Linked DNA regions of Arabidopsis thaliana. The protein of the gene in region 4 interacts with the protein of the main gene of each other region in a pairwise test. Each region holds a gene or a part of one and is shown on either strand. Other genes may lie near its edges.

What was found.
Region 1: the proteins of AT5G51010 (region 4) and AT2G46550 interact in a two-hybrid assay, tested with the Arabidopsis thaliana proteins (one large-scale study listed by BioGRID).
Region 2: the proteins of AT5G51010 (region 4) and AT5G27690 interact in a two-hybrid assay, tested with the Arabidopsis thaliana proteins (one large-scale study listed by BioGRID).
Region 3: the proteins of AT5G51010 (region 4) and AT3G50910 interact in a two-hybrid assay, tested with the Arabidopsis thaliana proteins (one large-scale study listed by BioGRID).

What each region holds. Positions count from the first base shown.
Region 1 is NC_003071.7:19,109,083-19,117,110, forward strand, and holds AT2G46550 (uncharacterized protein), read right to left. Parts: upstream 5,125-8,028; 5' UTR 4,910-5,124; intron 4,391-4,909; 5' UTR 4,376-4,390; coding exon 3,182-4,375; 3' UTR 2,879-3,181; downstream 1-2,878. Other genes in the region: AT2G46535 (uncharacterized protein), read left to right, coding at 616-1,071, 1,167-1,238; AT2G46540 (fiber), read right to left, coding at 1,605-1,640, 2,076-2,158, 2,521-2,599; AT2G46560 (transducin family protein / WD-40 repeat family protein), read right to left, coding at 6,488-6,598, 6,737-6,915, 7,006-7,227, 7,328-7,461, 7,622-7,845, 7,954-8,028.
Region 2 is NC_003076.8:9,799,691-9,806,986, reverse strand, and holds AT5G27690 (Heavy metal transport/detoxification superfamily protein), read right to left. Parts: upstream 3,341-7,296; 5' UTR 3,192-3,340; coding exon 3,102-3,191; intron 3,003-3,101; coding exon 2,927-3,002; intron 2,844-2,926; coding exon 1,951-2,843; 3' UTR 1,721-1,950; downstream 1-1,720. UniProt on the Arabidopsis thaliana protein: Heavy-metal-binding protein.
Region 3 is NC_003074.8:18,915,755-18,924,700, reverse strand, and holds AT3G50910 (netrin receptor DCC), read right to left. Parts: upstream 5,375-8,946; 5' UTR 4,915-5,374; intron 4,517-4,914; 5' UTR 4,513-4,516; coding exon 3,747-4,512; intron 3,372-3,746; coding exon 2,949-3,371; intron 2,857-2,948; coding exon 2,702-2,856; 3' UTR 2,400-2,701; downstream 1-2,399. Other genes in the region: LPPepsilon1 (Phosphatidic acid phosphatase (PAP2) family protein), read left to right, coding at 1,168-1,479, 1,584-1,809, 1,895-1,968, 2,071-2,298; AT3G50900 (uncharacterized protein), read right to left, coding at 6,235-6,579; HB28 (homeobox protein 28), read right to left, coding at 7,532-8,281.
Region 4 is NC_003076.8:20,741,069-20,748,127, reverse strand, and holds AT5G51010 (Rubredoxin-like superfamily protein), read right to left. Parts: upstream 3,576-7,059; 5' UTR 3,514-3,575; coding exon 3,305-3,513; intron 3,213-3,304; coding exon 3,154-3,212; intron 3,060-3,153; coding exon 2,942-3,059; intron 2,863-2,941; coding exon 2,784-2,862; 3' UTR 2,569-2,783; coding exon of another isoform or gene 2,428-2,568; 3' UTR 2,425-2,427; downstream 1-2,424. Other genes in the region: AT5G51030 (NAD(P)-binding Rossmann-fold superfamily protein), read left to right, coding at 1-266; CRL (crumpled leaf), read left to right, coding at 963-1,142, 1,255-1,304, 1,456-1,516, 1,614-1,649, 1,743-1,793, 1,863-1,955, 2,032-2,136, 2,229-2,321 and 1 more; AT5G51000 (F-box and associated interaction domains-containing protein), read left to right, coding at 4,459-5,595; AT5G50990 (Tetratricopeptide repeat (TPR)-like superfamily protein), read right to left, coding at 6,847-7,059.

The DNA.
Region 1 (8,028 bases), on a different chromosome or scaffold from region 4:
ACATACATACCATTGATTAGAAAAAAAAATGGTTAAGAAGACCAAATAGAAAAAGAGATGGTTCAAATAACAGTCTCTCACGCGCCTCTTTTCTCAAGTTTACAAAGCGCAAAATCCTTCAGCCATTTTAAGTTCACGTGCCTCACGTGGTTTAGGTGCGCGTGGCTATGTCACGTGTTGCTTCTGCTTGTACTACTATTACATTACCTCTTGAGCAGTTGGGTGATATTTATTTATTTTCACCTCTATAGTAAATAGTGAAGCTTTAAAATGTAAAAATACCATCCCTTATAGAATAACACTGTTTGAACTTTAGTGACAATGTATTCTTTGAATAGTAAGAACAAATAATAACAGTTTAGTTGGTGAATGATTCTATTATTTGGTGACGTGGTCAGTCAAATTTCCTCTAATAACAAAAGAGTATTGACTTTTATGAATGGTTGTCTATCTAGTCAACAGTAAAAAACCACCGTTGGATCATTAATAATCACAAATGATTTGAGATATATTTAATGCATTGTCTTTTTTTTCTTCACTCTCCCACTACCTAAAAAGAAACTGCCTAAGACTAAGCTGAAGAAGAAGAAAGAAAGAAACAGAGAAGACATAAAAATGAGAGGAGACAAGGAAGAAGAGAAGGCGAAGCTTGCACTTGTGTTAGCTGCAAAGTCAAGATCGTTGTTGTACACTTCATCGCCTGCGAGTCCACGTGTGTTTGCTTCTCCGATTCACACTCTTGCCTCTGTTCCGTTTTGTTGGGAAGACCAACCAGGCAAGCCCAAGCACCCTCTTCGTCCTCTTTCTTACCCCAAGTGTCTTGATTTGCCACCTCGTTTGCTCCTTCCTGGTGAGTTCACGCAAATGCCCTTGCCCGAGAGGAAACATGGGCTCTTGAGGTTCTTGAGGAGGAAAGGGAGAGGGGATGTTGTTGTGAGGGGTAATTATGTCTTTCTGTCGGAGAATCAGAGAGCAGGAGATAATATCAACGAGAACAACATGAAGATCATGAAGTTTAACAGATCAGGGAGTTACCATGGTGGTGGTTCTGTTAAAGGATCTCACTTTTGGGTAAAGTATTTGTGTTTCTCCGCTCCTTCTTCATAACTTCTTCATCTTCCCAAGTCTTGTCTTTCGCTGAAACGGGTTTGGTTGGGGAAATGCAGGGAAGTTTATGCAAGGGATTGAAGCTAGCAATGCCATGGAAGAACAAGAAGATGAGAAGTGGAAGTGTTTAAGCCTGTTTTCAATATGCATTATCTATCTATCTATTGAGGGATCAAGATGATGAAAAAGAGCTATTAAGAGTGTATGTAAGATTAGCAATTTTACTGTAATTTAATATCTGTGTGATATGCATATATAATGTTGTTAAGACTCATGAGCCATGGCAAGAAAAGTTTCAAGCTTTTTTCATTTGTTGTTAAGAAATGAATACATCTGATCAAGTGATGAACAAAAGTGAGTGTACACACATGCCTTTATATTAAGTTTCATAACAAACAAATGAGTCTGGCTTATTCATTGTGAATAGAGAGAGTAAAAGACAAAAAAGGAATAGGGATCATCTGAATGTAAGAAAACAGGGGAAGTCATTGCTTGTTTTAACTCTGTTTCTTCCCTGTGACACCAGCAATCACCTGCAAAAGCAAATTGGATCTGAGTTAATACTTGACGCCTTTGTTTGCCTGTAAAGAGTATATAGGAAAGCGTTGGATAACTAAGCAATGTGATAACTAACTAGTCTCTTTTATGCCCAATCCATTTTTGGCAGTAACAAAATGTGATCATGACACTCGTCCAATGATGAAAAGCATAGATTTTTAAGGCATGGATGAACCAAAGATGGAACTCTCAAATCACAAGAAGACGCAGGAGGAACAAAACATCGAGATGATGTATAGGCTACATCACATAGCAAAAAAAAGAAACGTCCAAACATTCGCCTACACGGATACTAAGAACAACTATCATGCAGAGTTCCCACATCAGAGACATTTCATTAGATAGGAAATAGATGACGATTTTAGCAGCAAAAGGAATTTCCACAGAGATAAATATATTCTAATACATACATCGGTAAGTGGAGGAGCTTTAACTTGTTTGGAAGCCTCGAGAGAGTCTAGAATAGGCCTCACAACCGCAGGCAAAAATAGTCCTACAAGATGAAGAGAATCCATCAGCAAATGTATATTAACACAATTGCCTTTTGCTAATGTTCAAGAAAGACATAATCTTTTGCTACTTATACATGGAGATAATGGAAGACATGGTTCCAAATTAAGCTTAATTTCAACTCCTTAAAATACACTCTCTTTGACAACCCAAAGAAATGACGATTCCGAATAGAGAGATTTGGATCAGGCATTTCTCTATATTCTCAAATTACAATCGAGCAAACTAGCTCTATAGATTCAAAGAGGAATTCCAGAAACTAGATAAATCCCAAAGCAAATCCTTTTCTAAGAAAGAGAATGCGATCGATCGGTGAGGAATTAAGATTGAGATTAGGGTTCATACCAACACCGCCGATTAAGCAAGAAGCAGCCACAACTGGTTCCTGCGCCACGAACATCCTCAATTTCTCCATGACCGGCATTTTCGCACTTTCCGATTTTAATCTCTTCCTCGGATTACGACCAAAGCTCCTCGTCAATGTCTGATTCGATTGATAGTTGCTCCTGAGTAAACCATTTTCTCACCTGAAACGAAATTAAAGATCATCTCCGGTCGGGTCGGGTTACTGGGCCCAAATGTTCGCAATTCGGCCCATTATAATCACCTTTGCCGTAATTAAAAAATATATATACTGTATATCTTTCTCTTTCTCATTCTGCTTCCAGCAGTAAAAAATTACTAAGTATTTTAAATTTTCAAGAAATCGAAGCTCTAGGAACATGAAAGAAAGATCATATACACTGTACAGTAGTTAATATATGCAGATATTACATGAACATGAAAGATACTTACTTACACATTAAAGAAGATAATTTCATATGATTTTTGAAGGAAAAGATCAAACTAGTAAACACAATATTAACAAAATTCTTACAACAATTTACATTCTCTCCTTAACGAAATCCAAAAGCTGATTCGAAGCCAATCTTTTAACTCATTTCAACATCATCAAGCTGTTCAATGAGAAAAAAGATGAAGTTTTGTCTCTTTTCTTCTCTTTAAACTAGAACGATAGCATCTGCATCCATCCAACAGTCCATCCAAGAAGCAAACCAGCACCAACAAGACTCATCCCCAATGCTAAACCAACCGCGTACTTTGCTCCATTCGGTTTACCCCTTTTGCTTCTTCTCTTTCTCCCCTCTTTTCTTGCTTTGCCATTGCTCCAACAAGGGATGGAAACCCCTGGATCGTCGTTGTTCTTATTGTCAATCTCCTTGTTCTTGATTTGGAGGTAAAGTGCTTCTAGCTGAAGCAGTTGTAACCATTGCTTATACCCAAAAAGCTCTGCGGCTTGCTTCAACAATATCTTCACCAAGTGCTCTTTCTCTGCATAAGCTTCTTTAGCCATATTCTCCGCTTCCCTAGCCCGCGTTTGCGAACGCCTCAGTGCTTCTAGAAGCTCGGATTTGCTTAAATCAGACTCAGATGAAGCCTCGGGTCTGTTCTTGCAGCTGCTTCCTTTGCTTGTACCCTTGATGGTTTGGCCAGAGACAGAGTAGTCTCTCAATCCATCAGAATCAAAACCACGTGGACTACCATAATAAGATCGTTTCATCTTCTGCGGTGTTGGTAAATCACAATTCTCAACATAGTCTAGAGATCTTTGTGCAACCAAGGAAGCTAACTCGTCTTTATCCGTAGTTCGCCACCACGGTGCAGCTTTCTCACTCGAGAGAAGATTCCACGGCGAGCTAGGATCAAAAGAGAGCTCACTTAACTTTTTCTCAGAGGACTCATCATACCCAGTTGAACCATAACTCTCCCTTGTCTCCATCAACTCTATAAACTCTTGAAAGCTTTCGGAATTAAAAGACTTTCCTTGTTTCTCTCCAGCTCCCAATTCAGACTTCTTCTCAGATACACCTTGATTGTTAACCTCATCCTCCAATGGCTGCTTCTTATTCACCTGAAACTGATGATGAGGATGACTCCACAGTCTGGTGTTGTGGGGTAACAGATCAGGGAAATTCGGGTTTCGAGGAAGAGGCATGAAACCTGCACAAGATGATTGAGTCCGTGGTTCAACAGAAACTCGAGGAGAAGAACCAGAAACTTCCACTTGCTTAGTTGAAGAAGCAGTTGAGGATGAAGATGATTGGCAATAAGTTAACTTGGGAGCTCTTTTAGCGTCTTCTTGGACAAAGCAACGATTAACTGTTCTTTGCCACACTGCTCTTGCTTCAGCTGCTGCCATTATTTCACCATAACTCTAAAGATAAGACAAGAGACTGAGAATTCAATTCAAGATCAATGTGATTTAGAAATTAGGTAGATTTAGCAAAATCTTATTAACCGTTTTGAATCTATTTATAGGAAAAATAATATGAATCATTTATTTCAAAGGAAGAATCTTTCTGATTGCCGACAGATCCATCACCAAAAAAGCTTATTACAAAACTACTTTTTAGAGAATCTGATATGTTTTGCTTTCCAGGTAAATTGAAGAATTAGTTCCTAATTTTCTTAGAAGCAAACAAAAACCAAAGCCAGATTCTTTGTCAATTTATCAACTTACTAAACAAATCATCATTATTTGCAATTGAAATCAAATTTCATAAAACTTCAACTATAAAATTATCAAACCCAGAAGAACACAAAAAAAAAACATGAAACGCGATTAGACCTAAGAATCAAAACCGGACACAAAAACAACGGATGGTGATCCAAATCATAATTCATCTTAATGAAACCGCAATAATTTGTAAGAATTCGGAAAAAAAGAACTAACCAGAAGGAGAGAGTAACACCAGACGAAACCCAAAAAACGGAAAAATCTATGATTGTTTAGTCAGTCTCGTGAAGAAGATAAGAGTTGTTCTGATTTTTTTTTGTTTTCTGATTGTCAGAGAATTTTTGTTTGCTTTCGATTAAAATCTTTTGAATCATTTTGCAGTTTATTATCGTTTTCTTAGTCTCTGTGTCATTCAGCACGCAAGCTTCCGCAAAACGGCACCGTTTTCTGAGAGGACCCATAGTTATGTTAATGAGTATTTGAGTCCACAGATTTGCCCATAGATTTCACCTGACAGCCGTTCGATTAGATATTAATTACACGTGGCGACAAAAAAGAAGATCTAAAAAAGGCTTCCCTTTCCTTTTTTAACGGATAAGACCTTTTATCTTATCAGTTATCACTATACGATTACGCGCGATGGTAGATTACGTCATAAATGTTTGGTTAAAACATAAAAATCTTGTAGTAATTGCGTCGAATGATTTTGATTTTTAAATGATCGATTAAATTTTAAATTTCAAGTTAGGGTCTACTAATATTTTTTATGACATCGTTTTCATTTAAGTAATAAAGTGGCCAATGGTAAATAGACATGTTGAAAATATAAAATTAGGTTTTTTACATGTCAATTTGGTTTAATGTAGTTCTGAAAGTTAGGTAAAGAGAATGTAAATAGTGGCCTCGTCTAGGAAATTGAATGTTAGGTGAAGCCAAGTGTCTTCAAGTCATTATGGTTAATTGTCTCTCTCCATTATTCTCCAATTGATAGTGTTACATGAGATTTATTTATTACGTGGTTAATAATTATTTAAGCAATCTAAGATATTCTAATAAGATGCTTTATGTGAGCACTAATATATTCAGTCATAATTAACACCATAGTCTATATATATACTATATATACAACTAACTTCTTTAGAATAATTATTAATGAAATGGACCTTTGCCTTAACTTAATAGTTTTAGGAATAATTCTTGGCAAATGGGGTTTTAATCAAACATTTTGATGATTCATATCATTTCGTCTACAAGACTACAACACAAATTATGGAGCAGTTTAATAATCAACCATAAGATAATATTCCACTACGTAATACGATAGTGGCCAGGTTCCTAGCCGTCAATTTTTCATAATCTTATTAAACTATATCGAGCTAATACCAAACCAACACCAAAAAGAAAGAAAAAAAATTACAATAACGAACTAAATCTTGATAATGTTTATTTTCGGTTCTATTGCACTACACTTAACACCAATCTAATTGGAATCAGTCCGATTTAATCTGGTCTAAATCTGATGCAACAAAGTCAACGAAAACTATGTCAAAGATAAATAGATGATATTTCCGAGTATAGATTGAAGTCAAGTCAAAGATAAATTAAAATCTGGATTATGGTCAACTCAAGATTCTACTGCTTCATAATCTTTAATATATTTGTATATACACAAATATTAAACCATATAGAGAAAAAAACTACATCACAAAAAATCACGTATTCAATAAACACACGCAAGGTAGCAATAACTCGTTTTCTCGACTGCAAAACTTTCCCGGAAAATGTATCTTCTTTTTATTTAGCATCGCCATAGGAAGAATCTACGAGGCTGACGAACTTCACCGTGCCATCACCACCACACGTTATAAATCCATTCGGACAAACTTGTATGTCAGTCACCCCAGCCTACACCAAATTCGTAACACATACCCAAATTCGATTACATACACCGACATTACTTTGATTCTGGTTTACTAAGAAACCAAAGCCACTGTGAGAAAATACGATGAAAGGATTATGCTTTAGGTGATTTGGTTCACTAACCCGGATGATTCCACCGTAGCCTCTCGAGTTTGGCTGCAGAAAAGTGTGTCTTTCGTGTAGTTTAGGCCAATGATGAATCAACTTTGCAGCTTTCGCATCCCAAAGTTTTACTTCTCCGTCTTTGCTTCCCGTCAAGAAAAGACTTGTGCGTGGGATTGTCGCTATTTTTGTCACACTCCCTGAAATTTGCATCAATGTCAATCAAATTTCAGGATATTTTTCCGGTAAAATTGGAATATGAAGGTGAAAATAGGCTTTAGGGTGTGCACCTAAGTGAGCCTTTGGTATATACCAAAGCATCCCATTCTTGTTTTGATCTCCATCAGTCGAAGATCCACCGTCAGGGTTCCTTTGCTTCTTCATCTTTCCGGTTGCAATAAACCGGAAATCGTGCAAACCGACATCACCATTTTTGCCACCAGTCACAATCATAGGAGAAATTGAACCACTACCAATGTCATTATCAAATACCGAGATAGAGCGTGCACCACCTTCATAGAAGAAAAGGGACAAAACAAAAAAAAAACTTGTTAAGAGTTGTGATTATGGGAAATGATACTAACACTTCTACAAAAAAAATTATTGGAGGACCTTCATGGCAATTGATAGATGCCTGGGAGGTTGAAGGGGGAGCTAGAGTATCCCACACAACGACATTTGCACCACTTGAGCTATATCCTGAAGCTGCAACAATGGATCCACTCGAACTAATATATCCTACATCTCTGCAACCATAAATAACAGAAACAGAATAGCTGAAGCCAATAGAACAAGAAACAGAGAAATAATGGTAATTTTCATGACTGACAGCAATAATTTAAAACTTATGTGTTTTTAGCATATTAGTGAACAAGAACTTATAGACTCAAGGATCATGAAACGTACGATGCATGGCCATTGAAGCAAAGAGATGATTCAACAGGATGAATATTGCTCCTTCCTCCAACTTCTGATTGCCAAGTGCATACAGTTCCATCCAGTGCAGCGCTAGCAAATCTGTGTCCGAATGGACCGAATTGCACTGCTGATATCGACGCCAAAGCATAAGGAGGGGAAACATTTGCAGCAGGAAGAACACCATAAGTTGCAGTAGCTCTTTCGTTTCCAAACTGTAACATGCAAGGTTTGCATTATAAGATCCACAAGGATAGATAAGAAATGTCATATCATTTACTCCGAACTCCTAAAACAGATGGTGCAAGTGTTTAGGCACAAACCTCCCACAAGTATATGTGAGTGTTGCTTGAGCCAACCAAGAAGAGGGGCATTGTCGGGTGATTAGAGAATGCTCT
Region 2 (7,296 bases), about 11 Mb from region 4:
TAAATACATAGTAATCATATATTATTTATATTTATATTTGTAATAATCTTAGTGTCAGAATATTAGGATTTTCGGATATTTAAGATGTTTTTGGGTATTTAATTTGGATAAAAATATTCAAGGTTTTTAGATATTTTTGTACTTTCGAGTAGTTTGGATATATTTGGTTATAAAAAACGATATTTGGGAACTTCGAGTAATTCGAATCCGAACCCTATCCAAACGCAAAATCTAGAATTACCCAAACGATTTCTATATCTCTAAATCCGAAAACTCGATCCTAACCCGCAAATGGGTACTGAACTCCCGTTAACTAATGCTAGTAAATATTAACATTTCCCCTGCTTGGTCTCAGCCTCCTAATGTTTAACATCACATATACAACATCAACATCAACTCCAAATCTTTTGTTTGTCTTTCCACACTTTGGTCAAACACAATTATAACAGTCAATAAATCTAGGTCAAAAAATGTCAATCTTTTACTACGAAAGAAACATGAAACTTCTACTAAAAAGAATCTCTGAAGAGACATGCCAACATTAATATGTTGCATCAAACAATATACAATTTAGTTTACGGACACTAAATAGTATCACTACTGAAAAACATTGGGGATTAGAAATTTACTTATAGTTTAGTTTACGGACACTAACTAAATGTGGTTAGATAAACTTAAAAAAAAACTACAAAAATTGACCGTTATATATGTGCAAGTATTCAATGCATGTGATTAAATGAATATTGATTATAACAACGATAACTATTCTTTGAAACACGAACAATTTATACCATAATCTATAATGTAATCTAGTTTGTGTTTATGCCATCATAGTCATACAATTTTTTCCAGCCTTATGCCATCACACGATAACTTTAAGTGATGACATAATGTCATAATTTTAAACTTTTTTCTTTTCACATCTATATGTGTTATCGTGGATTGGTTTTACTAACTAGAATCAGATTCTCAATCTTGGTCGGTTCTCTTTTAACCATTCAAGAATTAAAGTATCAATGACATGTTTACATCATGTGTATATATAGGTAATTAACGGTTTTAGTTTCACACGTTAGTTGTTTATTAGGGAAAAAGTACAATATATAATATAGTTTGTATAACATTAAAACATGTAAGACCAATTTAACAATTCGATTCCCTGTGGACACTATTTACATATTCTTTGTCATTAAATATGCTTTCTAAATATGCCTTCTCTTCATATTTATCTTCCTTTTCAAATTATTCTTATTCCCTTTCACCAAAAATCTCTCTTTTTATTTCTCTCGGAAAAAGATTTATTCCTCTCCAAGTCCAATTATTCTCCTCAAATGTTATTCTAAATTTTGCACCCAAAAAATGATATTCGAAAATAGTACACTACTTCACCACGTCACTTCCGTATAGGGTATTGGTTTATATGAAAACCGTATGTTTTCTTAGGTATTACAAATTTCGTAGATCATAATGTATACTTAAATCATACTACAATTTTTTTGTTGTTGCAATCATGTCATTTTAAATCTATCAATATATGTTAACAATTTATATTTCCTAATCATTATGCTTTTTTTTTTCTTATAATGTTGATTTTTATAATTATTTTTTATTATCGCGTATTAGATTTGTATAATATAAACCGCTTATATTATACGAATCTAATAGACGAAAATAAAAAATAATTATAAAAATCACCATTATAAGAAAAAGAAAGAATAAGCCCATGAATAGCTGAATTTTCCATTAAAGAAGTACATTTTCGCATTTCATTTACCAAAAGATAGCTAAATTACGAAATACATAAATTTTTATGTTGGATTAAATTACTTACTAATATCGTTCTTTGTTGATTGTTTACGAAATACCCCTCTAATAACACTTACAAGATGCCATTCCAAGGCCAATTATGTCAATTTGATTCTTAAAAGCAGTAAAAAAAAACTTCCAAAATCACATAACGCAACAAGAGTTTGGATTGCCTTCGCTTAGTGACTCAAACGATTCCGACGGTTGAGATCTATACGAATAAAATTCGGGCGGTGGAGATTCGTAGCCAGTGTCCACGTACTCATAAGAATAATATGACGTCGGATGAGAAGGAGGAGCCGTGTAATACGACGCCGTCTCATTCCCACCGTTATTAATTGGCCCATGCACCGTGTTGTAACTCACCGTATAAGACGGCGCCGTTTGAGGCTGAGTATGATAAAACGAAGGAGGAGGCAGTCCCGGACCCGGCCCGTACATTTGTTGTGGATGATGACGTGGAGGACTGTGAACCGTTGGATACGGATGATTCTGCTGCTGATGATGATGTAGATGAGGAGGTGGTCCGTGTATAATGTGATGATCTTGTGGAGCTGAGTATATCACTGTCTCTGGCGGTCCATCGTTTTGCGGAGGACCACCACCGCCACCGCCGCCGCCGCCTCCTTCCATTACCACCGTCGTGTTCCCTAAGCTTTTCTTCTTCTTTTTCTTTTTCTTCTTCTTCTTCGGAGCTCCATCTCCTTGTGGTTGAAGTTGACCGTTTACAAACGTAACAACTTGTTTAACCTGATCAAAGTTTCCTCCTCCACCACCACCTCCACCACCGACGTCACCTCCGCCGTTGTTGTTGTTGTTGTTTTCGTCGTCGTCTTCATCTCCACTAGTTTCTTCGTTATCTTTCTTTGGTTTCTTCTGATAGTTACAATCGTTGTTAATGTTGTTCTCCATTGACGTTGGCCATAGCTCGGCGTGTCTACCGGCTTTCATGATCTTCTTGATTAAAATCTCCGGCTCTACGTTTCCGATCACCGTTACTTTTTGTTGCTTCACGTCGATATTTGTTGTATATACACCTAAAATAAAATCATATAAATACTCATAATTAGTTAATCAATATCGAAAAAGAATAAAACGTTAGATTTAGTTTATATATTACCATCGATTTTGCTCAATATTTTCTTGATTTTTCTCTTGCATCCTTCACAATGGATAGAAACTCGCAAAACCCATGTCTACAATAAAAAGAAGACGAAGAAATATATGTATTGAGAAAAGAAGATGATAGTTATATATGAAGAAGAAATTGATTACTATGTAAAAGTGATACTTACGGTGTATCTAAGAGGTTCAGGGTAATCTTCGAAAACATGTCTCTGTTCTTCTTGTCTTGTGTCTGATTTTATCTCTGTTCCTAAATCCATAATGGAGAGAAAGAGGAAGATGAAGAAGAGGGAGAGGGAATTGATGCAACTTTCATGTGTAATATAGTAACGAAGTCATGGCTTCTATATCTTTTTTTTTTTTGTGGGACTTCTTCAGCAGATAATATTCTCTAATAGTTGCCTTTTTGGAAAAGATTATAAAATGCTCAGTTCTCAAAACATTAATATTTACTTAGTTAGGATTAAAAAGAGTTTTTTTTTTTTTCTTTTTTGTCAAAACATGAAATTTTCGATTTTTCTTTGCCATCATTTTCATTTTCTTACTATTAGAAGATATTTTAGGACACTGAAATTGTCAAAATACCCAGTCTAGCTAGGTTCGAAGTACACCATAAACCTAGGGGTTTGAATAATTTTCTCTCTCTTACGGATGTTAATTTGACCGAGAAAGAGAGAGTAGTAATCAAACATATTTCCAAACCATGATTCAGCGATCGAAAATTGTCATATGTATCGGCTCACAAAATAGTTGGATTATGCCCATTTTACTCAGTTTGATTTCTTCTCATAGTATCGTTTATGTCATTTTTATTTAATTTTGACTTCCAATATAAACAAGTATTTTCCTACACTATTCTTACACTATAAAAAATATAAGTATTGATAACACATTACGATAATACAATTTTTATAACTGTTATTAAAGTGGATATTCGAAGTTTGGTAACAATATAATATCATAGCATTTCAGTAGTCTAATAATTGTAACTAGGATCGGACTCTCGCTACACTGAGGATTTTTTTTTTTTTAGTATTTATATGAAGTGTATTTGTATGTGTGTTTGTATCTTTTATAACAGACGTATTTTAAAATTATCACAGTGCAATATATTTTATAAAAAGAAAAAAAGGCTGTGATAGAGATGTTAATGATGGGTTAAAACCCACTGGGTATCCAAATAAATAAAACTCATATGGGTTTATCTCATTGGGTTATGGGTACCCACGGGTTTTTTTAAGTCCTTTTTCAAGTGAATCAACATTTTCTTGTAAAAAAAGATTTCACATTTTTTCCCCTAAACCGCGATTTAACAGTTTACCGCCAAAAAAAACATTCAACATTTTCCCGCCAAAAAAGACATTCAACATTTTCGCGCCAAAAACGATATTCAACATTTTCCCGTCAAAAACGCAATTCAACATTTTCCCGCCAAAACGCGATTCAACATTTTCCGCCAAAAATGATTTCATATTTTCCCGCCAAAAACGCAATTTAACATTTTCCCGCCAAAAAAGACATTCAACAATTTCCCGCCAAGAAGATTTCACATTTTCCGATCAAAAACGGAATTTAACATTTTCACACCAAAAAAGATATTCAATATTTTTCGGCCAAAAATGACATTCAACATTTCCGGCCAAGAAAAGGATTTGACATTTTTCCCGCCAAAAACACAATTTAACATTTTTCCGCCAAAAAACGCAATTTAACATTTCAACCTTTTTCCCATCAAATATATATGTAATACAGAAAATAAATATAATTTAAAATATATTTATAAGCAAAATATATTTCGGAACAATCGGGTTTTTTCGGGGTTTACCCACTAAATAAAAAACCCATCTGAGTTTTCTAAAGTTGGGTTTTTGGTGGGCGGGTTTATTTCGGGTTCAGGTCGGGCTGGGCTTTTTTACCCACCACAACATCTCTAGGTTGTGATTTAAATTTAGGAGGTGTATAGTTGAAAACATATTGATGATAACAAAAGTACATAATGATATTATGTAATAATGTGTATTAAAGTTTCAGATACTTATATTGAAGCAATATATATATATATATATATATAATTTAAAAAAAGAGATACTATTGTATAGATAATGAATGTTTATACAGTTTAGTTAGCTAATGTAATTAAATTGTAATTGTATAATATTGATTTTTGATTTTTATATTTTACTCTTTTATATACAAAAGCCCAAAACTAAAATCACTTAAGACCGTCAAAACTTAGCAAAACTTTTACACTTCTATTTTTTTTAGAAAAACTTGTAAAATTTATAACCTTTGGTCATCGAAAAATATAAACTAAAAGAATAGCTAGAAAAAAGTATTTTTAAAAAGAGAAATATAAAAGAAGCATTTCTAACAATTCCTCTATATTGTATCATTTTAATTTAGACTATGTGAAACCATGAATACATTCCAACATATTTTAAACTTTAAACCATGTTTTTTTTTGTAAAAAAGATTTACCTTCTTTCTTCCTTGTGAACTTCAAAACTTCCATATCTTTTTTTTTTTTTAAAGAAATCTTGTGTAGTTTTTATTTTAATTTACAAGTTTAACTTGTTCTGTGATTAAGAAACCAATAACTAAAATTATTTCTATGAGTCGGAACAAAAAACAAACTAAATTTGTAATTTAAAACAGCTGGAAAATTATATAACGGTTTCTTTAATCAAAGAATATGAGTATGACCAATAGCTCAAAAGATCCTTTTATAATTGTTGTTGTGTATGTAGTTAAGGTTTTGGTTATGACGGCAATCGCCTTCACAACATTAACTTTTGTTCAATCATTCATTGGCCATGAGAACCTTGTTCGTGTGAATTTTGTGCTGCCTCGTTACAATCACAATCTAAGCACATCATCTCTTTACCTTTGTGGTGAGTTTGAATAATCAGTCTTTGTTTTAGTTGAGAATCTCATTTGACACGCTTGTTAAAACAAATGTGGAAAAGTGTGGAAAAGTTTTCCATATGGTTGATTCTAGCGACATAGGGAAATGCAGCAATTTGGAGTGAATATGCCTTACTTCCATCCATTCATGGCAGTAATATTATGTTCTAATAGACTAGTTGATATCCTTAAAATATGTATAATCTCTAATAAGCTTTTTTCTTTATTTCTCTACATAATGAATGAATTCCATGATGTTCACAATGCTAAACATGTTTTAGGTGATGTGATTTGCATATAAAAGTTTTTTCATATGCATATGTTTTGCTCATGTTTTGCATAGTTATGTTATGCATAATGCATGCATCTATATATTTATCATTCATATATCATGTTAAAAATAGGTTTAAATACCATGATTTTTTTTGTAAGAAAGGTTTTAACTTTTCTCTTCCTTGTGAACTTCAAAACTTCCATATCTTAAAAAAAAAATCTTGTGTAGTTTTTATTTTACTTTACAAATATAACTTGTTCTGTGATTAAGAAACCAATATCTAAAATTATTTCTATGAGTCGGTACAAAAAACAAACTAAATTTGTAATTTAAAATAGCTGGAAAATCATATGATGGTTTCTTTGATCAAAGAACAAGTTAAATTTGTAATTTGAAATAAAAAAGTACGAACATAATATGAATTGATTTTGTTTAAGTTTATTAAATAAATATAATTTTCAACAAAATAAATGTGAAGTAGAAATTTAAAATTGTATGTATGAGAGACATAATTTTATGAAAAATACTTGGGTTCACCCCCTAAGATTTATAAACAGATTTAAATTTTACAATTATACGAGGTTAAATATATAATTTTATTGGATACCTGAAAACATATCATTTTACATGTAAATCATTTTCACAGATAATCACTATTGCTACATGACAAGTAAATAACTTTTAGAGATATACTAATTGAAAGCATCTCCAAGAGATACTTCGTATATAGAGTATGTAAATTTCAAATATAAAGTATGAGTAGTTTCTTCTCCAAGAGTATACTTCAAATATGAAGGTTTTAAAATGTGTATTTTGCATTATAGTCCTTATATTATTCATAATAATTTTAAAACAATCTAACTTTTATAAATAACTCTAAAACATACATTAAAATATTACACATAATCTTAATTAACAAAACAATACGTTTATAAATAAAATACATATAAATAAAAATAAAAAATACATAAATTTACCTGAATATTAGTATTGTTGTAATATTTTAATTTGTGTATTATTTTTGTGTTCATATAATTTTATTTCCATGTAATTTTATTATCATTGTGTTGCTTGAATTTGTATTAAATTTTTAATATAATAGTTTGTTTGTAATATTTGTTTTTAATTCTATGTTATATTTTAAATATTAATATTTTGAATTTATTTGAAAGGTCTATATATTAAAT
Region 3 (8,946 bases), on a different chromosome or scaffold from region 4:
AATATGAATATTTTACACATAACTCTAATAGATCTCCCAAATTGTATATAAAAAAAGAAAACTCCGATAGATCTAGTTTAGCTTAAAAAATTGATATGATTCTTTACACAAAACGGTAACAAAGAATTTAGACCTCCATATTTAATTTATATATGTATGCCCACATAAAGCAACATTGTTCTAAAACGCTGAAAGTGAAACATTTAAATATTCTTCCGAATAAATCGACGTGTACACGACATTGTCACCGTTGATCTATTATTGAAGCAATATTTAATTCCTCCGTAAAACATTATAACTCATCCGTAAAGACCGTGAAACATTATAACTTAGCGGTAATATGTAAATTTGTTGTGAAATAATAACATGAAAAGAAACCGAAAAGTTCCTCTTGATAACTTTTTTTTCTTTTTAATAATGTAGATTAATATAATTTTCGTTAATTATGTTTTAATGAAAAAGATTAATTAAACAAACTAATCAAATGTGTTAATTGTAATATACACAATGATACAAAAAATATGAAATAAGTTTTTAAAAATATGTGATATTCCAACAATATTCCAACTTTTCTATAACATCAGGTAAATATTTCTTCACCTTTTCATGTCAACATTTTACAAGAGAAGCATAAAACAAAACAAAAAATCCTCTCGGCAACCATATGCCTTTTAAACTAATGAGGATTTGTACTTTTTTTTTTTTTTTTTTTTTTGGGCACAAACTAATGAGGATTTGTACAAAAGCTAAATGAAAAGAGCTACAAAACTAAGCCCATAGACATATATCTCATGAAGCCACTCCAGATCACCTGATGCTACATCAAACTAAGAATGGTTTTAATTAATATATGGGCCTCAGCTGAGGAAACAAAAGCCCATTAATTTGCTTCAATATTGGTTTACCCGTTTATTCTACATGCCACGTGGAAGAATATGAGTGGTCACGATATTATAAAATGCGTCAAGGTAAACAACAAATAACAAACTCGTTTTCGAGCAAAAAAACTTTGAAGATTGATTTGAAGAAGAAAGCTCTCTCTCAGGTTCTTGTTCTCAACCAGACATTGATTTCTTCGATTTGCATATTTCCCTTCTTCGTCTTACGAATTTTACTTCCTTTAGCGATGGATTTGATACTACGTTGACTTTTATCTTCCTTTTGGAAATGGCAGCGTCGTCTTCTCTTCTTCTTCTTCTTCACTGTCCCACCTGCAATTTCTACTTTGACTCTTCCTCGTACCTTAAAAGATCGAGACTTTCGAGCTATAGTTCGATTATCTCTCGTGGGTCTCCTTTGTTTGTCTCTAGCTTTGGATCTATGACCGTTAAAAGATTCTCTAGCAGAGTCGGAAGCAGGAGCAATGACGGTAACGAACAATTTGGAGCGTTGGAGCAAGAATCTTTCATCAACAACTCATCGGAGATACGGAAAGACTTGGTCACCGGCGGTGGGATTGAAGCCATTGTTAATCGTCTGGTTAGTTAATGGAAATCTCATTCATGCACGCAATGTGTTCGATGAAATGTTTCTTCAGTATCAATGTGTGTTTCTTTCTGACCGGTTTTAATTAATGATGACAGAGCAAATGGGTTGTGTCTGTTCTATTTGGTTCAATCATTCTTTTGCGACATGATGGTGCAGCCTTGTGGGCAGTCATTGGATCGATTTCGAATTCTGCTCTCTCTGTAGTTCTTAAACGTATACTTAACCAAGAGAGGCCTACTACAACATTGCGATCTGATCCCGGGATGCCATCTTCTCATGCTCAATCCATTTCTTTCATATCTGTCTTTGCTGTTTTATCCGGTAAGCAGCTTAAGCTGTTCACTACTCATCGTTCGCTATCGTGGAACTGTTTACAACGGATTCACTCGAGTCGTGTTTTCTGCAGTTATGGAATGGCTTGGAACCAACGGTGTGTCTTTGTTTCTTAGCGGCTTAATCCTCGCATTGGGTTCATACTTTGTAAGTCTGTTATAACAAGTTTCACCTAATTGATTCAAGCTTTTCATTCATATATGAAATCATTTAGTTGCCATTGATCTCACACTCTCTGCACTATCACAGATACGGTTAAGGGTTTCTCAAAAACTGCACACAAGCAGTCAAGTGGTGGTGGGTGCCATTGTTGGTTCTCTTTTCTGCATCTTATGGTACACAATGTGGAATTCGCTTCTTCGTGAAGCCTTCGAGGCATCTCTATTAGTGCAAATATCTGTATTTCTGTTTGCAGCTACATTTGCGCTAGCTTTCGCAGCGTACGTTGTACTTAACTGGTTCAAAGACGAGAGATAAGCAATACCAAGCTTTACTTATAAAGCTTAAAATTGTTATCCCTCAAATTCTTTTCAAAATATCGAAATGAAGGATTCAGAGCCCGTTTGTTAAAATCAAGATTTTAAAAAATAAGGTTTCTTTAAGATGTAAGCAAGGCAAGCACCTTACACTAGAGCTAACATTGAATGTTAATAAGAACCAAACCGAACCAAATATTAGTGACTGTGGCTGCCACTCATCAGTATGCCACCGCAAGAAAAATGTGTTTGCAGCTACTCGGAGCTATACATCCTCTTGAGAACAGTTAAAACAATAACCAAATATGTATATATTTCTATTCACAAGGCGTACGCTAAACGTCCTGTATCTTTATTTCTCTTGCTTGCATCAAACCCACTACGTATACAAGAGACTTACTTAATCATTCATCCTTAAGAGATACTTCAGATGATGGTTTGGCTGCAGGAATGTAAGACCATGCCAATGCCGCGCTTCCTAGAGTAATGGTTGCTGCAATTGATCCCCAAATCCATCTCTGCCTCTTCTTTCTCTTCTGCCTCTCTCGTCGTGCCACCTCTGGTATCAACAGAGTTGTGAGATTAGATTTTTATTATACGATAGAAAATGACAATGGATAAATTTGGTGAATGAGAGTGATTTTCTACTACCTATGGCTTCTTGGTTTCGTTGAGACATCTCTCTGTTCACGGCCTCGTAGTAGTGTAGACGGTCAGACAACCGTGTGATTTCAAAGTTCTTAGTTTCGAGCATAGATTCCATCTCCATCTCTACCTCGGCCTTTGCCATACCTCTGCCTAAAGAGTCAGAGACAAACCTCGCAATCTCGAGTTGACAGCGTAGTTCTTCTGATAGATTCATGTTGTTGGTGGAGGCGGTAGGATCAATAGGAACGAACAGACCCACCTGAGCCATCTGCTCACGGAGTCTCTGCCAGTGAATTTGCATCTGCTCCAAAGCCTCCTCTGTCTGTTTTCTCTTCTCGATTTCCATTAGTAAACTCAGCCTTATCTCACTTAATTCAGATTCGATGTTATTAACTGAACTCTGCATTCCACTGTCGGTTGATAGTTCTGAAAAACCAAGAAATTAGATGGATTACAAAATACTAAATAGTTCCGAATCATAGAGTCGAGTTAAAGCTTAACTTTCAGGATACTTTGCAGATACTCATCAAGGGAAATGAATAATGCATTAATCATCATGATTTGGAAAGATAACTCATCACTTTCAAATTTCAATATATCCAGAAGAAAACAAAATTCCAAAGCATGACAAGGCGCTACTACTGCATATTAAAGAAAGAATACCCTCAAATGCTCAAAGGTTAAAAAGAAGGGACTCTAAAATGTGACTAATCATATTATCCTGGGAACGTTAAGATCATAAGCATTGACAGCCATCTCATAAGGAAATGATTAGTAAGAGAATAAGATTTAGATAAGTACCATCCCAAGCATCATAAAACTCTCCCACAGGTGTGGCAAGTCTTTGTGAACTTTCGTCCCCAGCATCACCCTCTACGTCTGTGTTACTTGTGAAGCTTGCTGATTCACCTGGGTCATAGAAATCTTCTGACTCACTCTCCTTGTCTGTTTTAATAGGGACTGGCTCAGACAGACCATTTACCCGTTCTAAACCATTAGCAGCGTTATCCAACTCTGACTTCCCATTCCCACTTTTCCCATCAAGCGGACTCCAATTTCCAACAGGACCATCAACAATACCATCAAAATTATAGTTTCCAACCGTACGAGCATGAACTCCATTGGAATAATCATCTTCAGTAACCTCAGTGATAGGAAACGAGAAGGAAGTGGACCTCCTCCGAGGGGAAACCTTTACATCTGTTTCAGCAGTAATAGTTTCCTCTTCCAGCGTCTTCTGGTGGGAAGAAGACACAACATTAGCCTCAGAAGAGCTTTTAAGAAGACGTGGAGGTCCACGTGATTTGTGGTTGATGATATAAGGCGACGGTGGGAAAGACGATGGCGAATTAGGAAGCGGAATCGCATCAGGTGTGGCGTAGAGAGCAGGTGACATCAGAGGACGAGTAACTGTCCTCTCATTAGGTAATTTACCTTTACCTTTCTCCAGTTTTGATATCGGTGGCTTTGAATAAAACAAATTAGTTGTGCTTGGAACACTCTCGACAGACGTGGAAGCCCCTGGCTCTAGCATTCTATCCAAAGCAATAGCAGAAAAAGTAGGCATGGCTCTGCAATCATTCAAGTATCAAATTAGTAATAAAAAAAAACCGAAACCACAAAGAGCGTTTCTTCATTTCAATCGAATCAGAAATCAACCAACAATGGTCATTCGCATAAGTGAGAATTAGCTATTGGGAAGGTACAAAGCAAACACCGCGTGCTCAAACCACAATCATCGGTATACCTAAACAAAACTTGATTCAATTCTCGCACGAAAAAAAGAAGCTAGCAAAATCAAATCACAAATCTGATAATCTAGAAGCTAACAATAGGTCAAGCCGATGAAAATGAATCGAATCTCTCGAGATTCAGACCTACCATAACGAAAATTTCCAGAAATTTCACCGAAACAACAAACAGAGAAAGGTGAAAACATCAAATCCGGAGGCGTAAGAGAAGGATTTACCTCGAGCGCGAAGGAGATCTCCACGGAAGAAAGCTGAGGAAGATTCAACGGTGAGAGATCGAGGTTATACGGAAGTAAGACGACGGCGGAGAAGATAAGAAGAAGCGTGATACGACATCGTTAAGAGGAGAGGAGGGAAGAAGAAGAAGAAGAAGAAGAAGAAGAAGAAAACCTCTTCTCCAAGGCTTTTTTTATCTCTTCTCAGCTTTGTATCTCCGCAAATATTTGAAACGCTCTGTTTTTTTTTTTTCTTCTTCTTTGCTTCTTCCTCTATTCTTGGCGACCCATTTTCTGATTTTCTTCGTTTTATTTTTATTTTTTTAAAACGTGTCTTTGGGAGACATTTGGAAAGACGGATATAACCTTTGACGGTAAGAGTTACAGCAAAGGACGGCGCTATACAATGAAGGGGTACTTTGTGTAAATAAATCGACGGTAGGGTTTCGTGAAGTGGTCGAAACGACGTCGTCCAAGGGATCTTGTTTAAGTGGGGTCACATCTCGAATATTCAGAAACGTCACTAAAACGGTGACGTGGCCTAAAAAGCAAATTAACCCATGGCCCAATTTTTGTCTGTTCACGAATCTGTAAAGCCCATTTTGAAAACGATTTTAAAAGTCTTTTTTTATTTTCTTGTCTTCGTCAAATCTGGGATTTTGATAATATTTTTAGAGCCAGGTTTTTCTTAAACGTGTTACGTGACCCATGTGAACACGCTTTTAATAAAGAGCGAGTATTCAAACTTGGTTAACAATATAGTTTTAAAAAAAAACTGGTCTTCACAAGAAATATGAGACTATGATCATATCTATTTTTTTCTCCTTAATATAATAATATTTTATTCGTAACTTTATTTTTTGATGAAAAGGGAAAATCAAATATGCATCTGTTACTGGAAATTTTGAATTTTTCTTCACTTTATTTTGAATTTGTTCTCACTTGATTTTGAATTCTTAAAATAAAAGCTAAGGTGGGAAATGAAGAATATAGAACATGATTCAAAGATATCAGCTCTGGGACCGCTTCTATATTAGCAACTACTACGAATTGATTCAGTTCATATAACATATCCTTTTAAATAAGAAAACCAAAATCAACTTTTTGATCATATATTAAAGTCAAGACCCTTGAACTTATCTTATTCTTCACGGAATCTCCATGAGAGTGTACAAAACACTCATCAATTCGTGCAAAAATGACTAATACATTGTTTGATGCATCTTTTCGAATCGAATCAAGGATTGTTTGGCTTTCTCATAGATTATATATTTGGAAAAAAAAGACGATATACAAATCTTTTATTCATTTTCCTTGACGAATCTATCTGTAATGAATCACTGGTGCGTTAGAACTCGGATCCCACACACCTCCTTCTCTCACATACTCCATATACCTAGCAAACTCTGGTTTCGCCGTTGCTAAACTCTTCTTCTTCGCCGTATTCTTCTTCTTTCTTTGAAAATGAACGTCAAAGAAACTAAACAAAGGATGAACAGAACCACCGGTTGGTTTCGCTGTCGGTGTCTTCTTCACTTCTTGAACCGGGTTTCTTGAATGACCATAAACACTAGCCGGAACGCTAGAGACCCTCTTCAGTCTCGCTTCTTCATCGCCGAGCTTTTCGTAGCCACCATGGATTTTCCTTGTGCTCATGGCTCTAAACATGGTGTGATGTGGTGTGGAAAAAAAGTGGAGTTCCTTTGTTTGTGTTTTAGGTGAGTTCTTGAAACTTTCTTCGTGATGGTGTTGATTTAAGTAGTAGGACAAGTTTGCTTTGTGATATGAAAAGGAAAATAGTAGATCTGTTTGACTTTTATTTTAATTATTGTTGTGTGTATGAGATCTCCAACTAACTAAATTAAATTTTTGTATATGTAATTAATAAAGCATGTGTTAGTGTTACACCCACATGATGTATACATCTTCTTGTTCGTCCCTATTAAATCGCCGGTCAAATGTGTGTTTATGCTGACTATTACGTCTACATCTTTTAGACAAATCAAATGGACAATGGCTTTAGAGTTTAGACTAATCTTCTTTGTCTGATCCATATCTAACAATATATTAATCATGGAAAAATCTAAATTTGGGGTAAAAGTAAGCAGAATAGATCTATTCTAGAATGCTAAATCTGCTCCTTACGATGGTTTAACATCAGACTGTTATCATGCATGTACATGATTATGAATCAGATTTTTCAAACAAAATCAACTTTCTATTCAGACAGAAAAAAAAAAGTATGAATCAGAATTTTAAAACAGCCATTTGAAGGATAAAAAACGCTAGAAGGAGGGGTCGAACCTCCGACCTTGTGGTTAACAGCCACACGCTCTAACCAACTGAGCTATTCCAGCTAATTGTACTAACCATACTTGTGCATTAAATTATTAATTACACACGTTTTTCCCTCTTTATTTGAAGGTCCAATTTTATCACTTTGTTCAACCACAAATTAAGTAAAAGAAAAAAATAATCCCAGATACAATATAAAACAATCAAAACATACAAGATTCCACAGATTTATACTCAAGATTTTGAATAATTTGAAGGGCAAAAATTATATATAAAAGCAAAACAGGATTGTAAAAATTTATTTCACTTTTATCAGATCATCAAACTATTCACTAATGTTACTATTGTTTCTCTTCATTGCTTGCTTGTTATTATGCATCCAAACCTTAAAAACTTGTCTCCTCAGATTCACCATCCTACAAAACTTATCAATCTCTTCTTCATCTTTCTTCTGCATCCTCCACCCTAATCTCTCTGCAAATTCCTTCATCTTCTCCTTTTGTTCTTCATTGATCTTTGTCCTCACTCTCTTCTTCTTCCTCATCATCATCATCATCAAACTTTTCCCATCAACGTTTTGGTTACGATGACTCAGAATCTTCTTCATATCCTCGCTTGAAGATGAAGTCCTCCGTCCAATCTCACCCGTTGGATGCATTACACGTGGCTTGTACGAGCTGTTACTGCTGTAAAACGCCGGAGTTATCATCAGCTGATGATCTTGTTTACTGTTCCTGTGTCCGTACACTTCTTTCCGGTGGAAGCTCCGGTGACAGTTACAGGCGGCGCATTTTAAAGCACCGAGTGTACCTTCTTCTCCGCCGGCCATGAACTCGCAGCATCCGTCCACCACGTGTCCTCCGGTTGAGGCCGCGTGGTTCTTCTGACATTCCCGGTACTTAGCTCCTTGGTCGACACGTGTCTTTGGTTTTTGGTTTTCTTTCTTGATCGGGAATAAAGCCATGGATGGATCTGATTCGGGTTTGGCTTCTGGTTCCGGATCCGTATGTGGCTTTACTTCTGTTGAGATCATTGTTGTGGTTGTAATTGCATTGCATTTTCCTCCAAGCTCCATTGTGAATCTGACCCAAAACAACAAAACTTTGTTAAATATTAATACTTATAAATCATTCAATAATGCATGCAAAAATCTCTCCTTTAATAATTAATAGACGACTTTTGGACTCACCTTAGGGATTATAGAGATGCTGCTTATTGTTAGAGGGGAGGAGTAGTGGAAGATGAGATTGATATTGATGATGAAGAAGAAGGAGAAATAGAAATTAAGGATGATGATGACGTATGTGTGTTTGTTTCCTATCACCCATCAAGTTTTATTTCACATGAGAATCCAACAAAAATATTGATTTTAAAAACACAAACCTACTAGAGAGAGAGAGTGTGTGTGTATGTGTGGTGGTGCCTCTTAATTTCGAGACATTGTCATATGTTTGTTATCTTTCACCACCTGCACCTTTGGTCCATCTCCCATTATTGCATTTATCTCTCTTTCTCTCTATTTTCTTTTATGATGATTATTGATGGTGTTACTAATTAATGTATGTCTGCAAAAAAACCTAGCTTAGTCAAACTATTACCTACTAAGTACAGACTTGAGGAGTGGAGAGAGAGAGATAAATGAGAGGAAAGTTATGGGATTATTTTAAATTAGTTAAATGGGTTAGTTTTCAAAACTTTTTTCTAATGTAAGTTAAAATTATGTCTTATGTATTGTTAGTT
Region 4 (7,059 bases):
CACATTCCTTCACAGACTACTCTGTCTCCAAAATGGCGGTGAACGCATACACAAGAGTACTAGCTAAAGAACTATCCGAGAGACCAGAGGGAGAGAAGATATATGCAAACTGTTTTTGTCCCGGTTGGGTGAAAACCGCAATGACAGGCTATGCAGGGAACGTTTCAGCAGAAGATGGAGCTGACACTGGAGTCTGGCTTGCATTGCTTCCTGATCAAGCTATCACCGGAAAGTTCTTCGCCGAGAGACGTGAGATCAGTTTCTAAGGAAAAGATTGGATAAGACTTGTTTGGTGTTCTACAAGAGTTTATATTGAAGTTAGTTTTTTAGTTGATTGCTATATTTACAAGAATCGATATGAAGAAACCATTTCTCTATGAATATAATTTATTTTTCTTCTTGATCATTTTTTTTGGTTTATCAATATGTTCGTAGTGATATAATTGTCATTAACTTTTTTTTCTTTTAACTGAGAAAATATATCTCAAAAAATTTCTCATTTATATTTTATCTAGACATTTAATATCCAAAATTCTTTGGTTGGAAAAAAAATTATACAGTTAAATTGCGCAATTTAATTCCAAACAAAATACAAAAAAATTGTTATTTTTGTACTCACAATCTCATAACAAAAATAAATTCAAATTTACTCAAATCATCTCAATTTATAATTATTTCTAAATAATTTTTATTAATATTTCGTTTTTATTACCAATTGTTTTAAGAAATTTAAATAAAAATTAGAAGAATAACAATTTTCATTTTCAATCCACTAAAAGAATTAAAAAACGATTACACGTGGCAAACAATCTCACCACTGGTTCGGCGAGGCGAAAACGTCGATCGTCACAACCTTACTCCTCCTCCTCTTCCTCTTTCTCTAATCGGCAAAATTTTCTGCTCCTGAGAAACAAGTAGAGATACTAAAGATGGAATCTTTGAACTAAATTCGAAACCTTTTAATGGGTACCGAGTCGGGTTCGGATCCAGAATCGAGCTCAAACGGGTGGAGCCGTGCTCGTGGTCTAGTTGTCAAGACTCTGGTTTTAATTGGCGGTGCTCTTCTCATCAAGCGTCTCACTAAATCCACCACTCGTAGAGATCACGCCCGTGTCGTCTCTCGTTCTCTCACCGGAGAGAAGGTTTTTAAACCCACAATCTCAATGCTTACACTTTTGGTTTCCTCTACTCAGAACTATGAAATTCTGATTTTTTTTTATGAATTGAGAAGTTTGTTTACATTGGGTTTTGAAGTTTACGAGGGAGCAAGCGTCAAGAGATCCTGATAATTACTTCAACATAAGGTTTTGTGATGTTCTTTTATCTCAAACTTATGATGCTCTTTAGTGGAATTTAGACCATGATGCTCCATTTTGAAGTTGTTTCAAGATTGAAACTGTTATATCTCTATCTCTAGTTTGTTTCTAGCATTCTGAGTTTGAAATGGTTGTGCAGAATGCTGAGTTGTCCAGCTGCTGAAATGGTGGATGGTTCAGAGGTTTTGTATCTCGAACAGGTGACCCATATTTTACTTCTTTGTTGTGTTATGGTGATTGATGTATAAATGTGTTCTTTCTTCATGTTTAAGACAAGATATTCTCTTTTTTCTTCAGGCATTTTGGAGGACTCCTCAGAAACCGTTTCGACAAGTATGTAATCATTCCCTCATGGTTGATTTAGTTAGGAAACTGTATTATTGTGTTGCTGAAGTCTTATGCATCTTGGGCTGATTTTGGTCGCAGAGATTATATATGGTGAAACCGTGTCCAAAAGAGCTAAAATGTGATGTTGAGGTGAGTTTGAGTTGTTGAGATCTTCTTATGTATTCTAATGCACGAGAGTTTGACGCAGTGTTATTTCAGGTAAGTTCATATGCGATCAGAGATGCTGAGGAATACAAAAATTTCTGTGACCGGCCTAAGGACCAACGCCCACTTCCTGAAGAAGTTATTGGTGTAAGTCTTAAGGTTTTGTATCGATAGAGAGATGTCTGGTTACTGGAAATCAAGCTAACAATGATCAAACTAATAGGACATTGGAGAGCATTTGACGACTATACACCTGAATTGTTGTGACCGTGGGAAACGTTGCTTGTACGAAGGCTCAACTTCACCTGGTGGATTTCCAAATTCATGGGTAATGTTCTTATAAGAAAAATCACAGTTTATTTGTTTTACACTCTTCTGCTTCCACACGAAAACACTTGACGTTTCTTTCTTGGATTGCAGAACGGGGCTAGCTATTGTACTTCAGATCTTGCAGTTCTGAAAAACAATGAGATACACCTCTGGGATCGCGGCTTTGATGAGAATCGAAACCAGGTACATCCCAACTTCCTTACACTTATTGGATTGTTTAAAGATGTTACTACCAACAAATTCTCAAAAAAGCTCATCTGAAATGGGTTTTGGTATTGGGACATGGCAGGTTTGGGGACCAAAGGAAGGTCCGTACGAGTTCAAGCCAGCGACATCATCGAGCATCAACGAAAACTTGTCTGCTTTGAACATCCTTTATCAATCTTCTATCGATAAACCAATCCAAGGGTCCCTCATCTTGCAAGACTAGCCAATTTGCACCCCCTTTTCTATTGTCTGATCTTCTCTGTATCACACTTAGCCTCTTTATTCATCTCATCTCAGCCACTTTCAATATAGTTTTGGTACATAGAAAGCTCAATACTTTACTTCATTACAGTAGTGGTCAACAAGTCGAAGATGAATGTTTATACAGAACAAAAAAATGATTCCAAAAGCAGAGTGTAGTCTCTCTTGATACTGCATTCATGAGGTGCTATTGACATAGAAGTAAAGAGCTGCGAGAGCTAAAACCCCAACTGCAATTCCTATAGGTAGAGCCTTCCTGCATGATTACCATAAGATAACTATAAGAAACAAAGTGACAAATATGTGAGATTGATGAGAAAGGAGGATCATTTTACCCGACGGCTTCGTCTCTTTGGAGCTCAGCTTTTCTAGCCTTTCTCACATCTTTGTCGTTGACATTCTTGCTCACATCAGGCATGTAAGCTCTAAACCGCCGTTTAGGAGCAGCACACACTGAAAACAAAACCTTAAACCCATTTGAAACCAAACACAGTCCCAACTAGTGATAGCTACAACTTGTTGATTCTTTAAACATGAATCACGATACCTGGACAGAAATAGTTATCAGGTAACTTGTCAAATGGAGTTCTATCATTGTAAATATACCTGCAAAATCAAAGAGAAGAAGATAAATAAACAAACTTTGTATGTTAGAGGTAACCAAGAAGAGAGAAAGAGAGATCAAGATTGAAAGAGACCCGCAATCACGGCAAATATAGGCTTGCTTAGAGGAGACACGCATGGAGAATCTAGGAGCAGAGGATTTGGAAAGAGACTTCTTGTTTCCGAGTAGCCTCATCGAGTAATAAGGCAAGAAAGATGATCTCTGGAGGGTTGGAGTCGTCGGAGGTAAGACCACGGAGGATCTTCCGGCGTAAAGTGTCGTCGGAGGAAGCTGCATCGCCATTGAGTGAAAGTTCAAAAGTGTGGTGGGATCAGAGGAGAAGAGAGAAGAGGAAAGTGATAAGAAGGAAGAGTGGGAAAAAGATGTGGAAGAGTGTGCTCCTCACAAGCCCTCTCACTCGCCACGTCAGATTTCCATTTTTATTTTTTTTTTATTATTTTCTAAATTGTCTGAAAAATCATAGACAAACAAACATTGATGCGATGATGTTAAGACGCTTTATGATCATATCAAACAAGATTAATTAGTCTTATTATATAATCAAACGAATTTAGAGATTTTTTAAGATCGTTTGCTTAAGTGGTAATGAACGTTATGGGTCATATTACCATGACCACCAGAAGTTCATTGTGATTTCAGTTTCATGCTTCTCAAGTTCACATGGATGCTTCTCTCATTGAGAATGTTATAGAGGTCACAAGCACATGATAGAATGGGAAATACGAGTATTAGAAGTCTTATATTCTGATTTAATGTTACCTAAGTTTATGGTTTACTATCTGGTTTAATGTCTTTTATATGAAGAACACCTTTATGCTTTGAGCTGACCTAATGAAAGAAACTCAATGTTGAAAGAATCTAGTAGATACGGAATTGGAAGCAAGCTGAATCAATTCTAGAAAATTTTGCCGCTGCTCTTCCTCGTCGCGATGAACAGACCAAGTTAGGCTAACGCAATCCTTTATCTGTTTTCAGCCAGCCTAAGCGCCCTACTTTACCTACTTGAAATGTCTTACAGAAAAACTAATTTAGTAGCAACAATTTTACTGAAATATTTCAAAAAAAAAAAAAATGTAAATCACGTCCTTTTATTTTGGTTAAAAGGCTATACACCTATACGTAAGTATTTATTTTTCTTCACAATTTTTTTTTACTGTATATATAAACAAAAAAAAAAGTAGTGTGGGCAAGCGTGAAAGTAGAAAACCCTAATCTCTATTTGAAAAAATGTCGACGATGTCTGATCTTTTCCCGGATTTGGTAGAAGAGATACTCTCTAGGGTTCCAATAACATCTTTGAAAGCAGTGAAATTAACTTGTAAACAATGGAATGATTTATCCAAAGATTCGAGCTTTACAAAAAACCATTATGGTAAAGAAGCCAAGGAGATTCAGGTGATCATGATATGTGATTTAAAGGCTTGTTTAATGAGCGTCAATCTCCATAATCACAAAGACTTGGCAGATCCATCTATAAAGCAAATAGGTAAACTTAATCAAGTCGAAATAGATAGTGTGTTTCATTGTGATGGCTTATTATTATTGTTGTTATGCAACCCTAAGGATAACTCGAAGCTCATGGTTTGGAACCCTTACTTGGGTCAAACCAGGTGGATCCAACCTAGAAACAACTCGCATAAGCATAGACCAGCTGGCAGGTTTAATCATAGACCAGCTGGCAGATTTTATATGGGATACGACAGCAACAACAACCACAAAATCTTATGGTTTTCGTCTATGTACCGTGAGTATGAAATCTACGATTTTAAGTCTGATGCGTGGACGGTTATTGATGTCAATACCGACCAAGACCATATAATAGATAATCAGCGTGTGTCCTTGAAGGGTAATGTTTACTTTATTGCTCATGACATATTGAAAGAGGAAGCATTTTTACTTTCTTTTGATTTTACATGTGAAAGATTTGGACCGAGTCTTCCTCTTCCATTTCACTGTTGTCATGAGGATACTGTACTTCTATCTACTGTTAGAGAAGAGCAGCTTGCAGTGTTATTTCAGAAGTCTGATGCGTATGAGATGGGAATATGGATTACAACTAAGATTGAGCTCAATATAGTGTTGTGGAGCAAGTTCTTAAAAGTTGATATGACATTGCCTAACAGCTATTGGTTTGAAGATTTGAGTTTCTTCCTCGTCGACGAGAAGAAGAAAGTAGCAATGGTTAGTGAATTAGACATAGAAACGTGTAAGAACTACAAAACTTACATTCTCGGAGAGAATGGATACTACAGAGAAGTGGATCTTAGAAAATCCAAAGGTTGTGTCTACTTATGTGTTCTTATGTTCCAAGTTTGGTGCAAATCCAGTAAGGTTCCAGTACTTGCAAGATGCGAAAGAAAATGAGGAGATTTTTGGTCTATTATTACATAGTTTACGATAATACCTTTTCATTCATTTATGTTTTTTTTTTGTTCTTCTCTCAAGTTTTCTCATGTCTTTTTGAACAAGACTGGTCAATCAGGGTTTTGCTGATGGGAAATGAAACTTTAATATATATATATATGGATCTATGAACTTTCTAGGTTTTCGTGGTTCTTCAACATAAGCTTTGTATTTGTGATCTTGAGAATTATACATCCATCTTGATGGTCATGGTCCTTTTTTAAAAAAAATGTTACATTAGTTAATCAACAAAAGAAATAAATTATAAAGAATGGGTTTTATAGTGGAACCAATTTAGAAGAGAAAGACAAATGGTAGAGAAGGTTTTGTGCTTCTCCTCCAAAGGCCAAAACCGAGAAGTAAGAGAGAAGATATCAAGCTCGTGTGGAGCACCAACGCTACATGATCAAGTCACCTAGCTTGGAGCCGGGAGGGTAATGAAGTATGCTAGAACAAATTAATTTGTCAATGATATAATAAGAGAGCCAAAATATTATAAATCATAGCTTGAAAACAGAGAAGGGGATGGGTACAACCTGTGATGTTGTTAAAATCAAGAATAAAATTGAGACTTTCATCAATGTGTTTTCTTCATATGGCTTGTGAATAAAATATCAGCTTTTGCATATTATTATGAAGCTGAATTTTATAGAATTACAAAAAAAAAAAAAATTAATAGTAGAATTTTTTCTTAAGAAGAGGTTGATGAGCTGATTAAAGAATTCTTGCAAAATACTAAGAAAGGTTTATAATGTTAAAAAGTTGATTAGATTGTAAATCCGACCTTAGCTCAGTTGGTAGAGCGGAAGACTGTAGTTGTTTGCAACAGAAAATCTTTAGGTCGCTGGTTCGATTCCGGCAGGTCGGATATTTTTATCCTAATTCTAACAGTTTTCATTTTTACCCTTATACCCTCCTATCTGACACCCATGGCTGTCACTTGAGTAGGACAAAATAGTAAATCACCAAGTTTACTACACTTTTATTCCAATTTAGTCCCTAAAACTTTAAGATTCCCAAACAATTTCCCAACACTTTAAGATAGTTCAGTCAGCATCGTGCTTGAACACAATGCAGTGCACCATCAAAACTGAAAGTTCACTGGACCAAAACTCAGCTAAAAAGTTCCTGTAATATTCAGTTTCTTCATCGTTCCTTTGGCGAGTTTGAGAACAAAGAATGTAGATAGAGAGCTTTTGTAGCATAACTCATTTACCAATAATCTCTGCAAGAACACAACCCATCTTCAAACCTATGAAACCGTATCCGATCCCGCATTATAATCACTCTATTCAACAACTTCGACACTGCTTTTATCCAGTTGTGGCAATCACTACACATCCGTATATTCTTCTGAATTCTAATTTCTGTTCCTGGACTACTCTTCAATATCACATACGCCAACGCGAGCTTTTCGCTGTGATA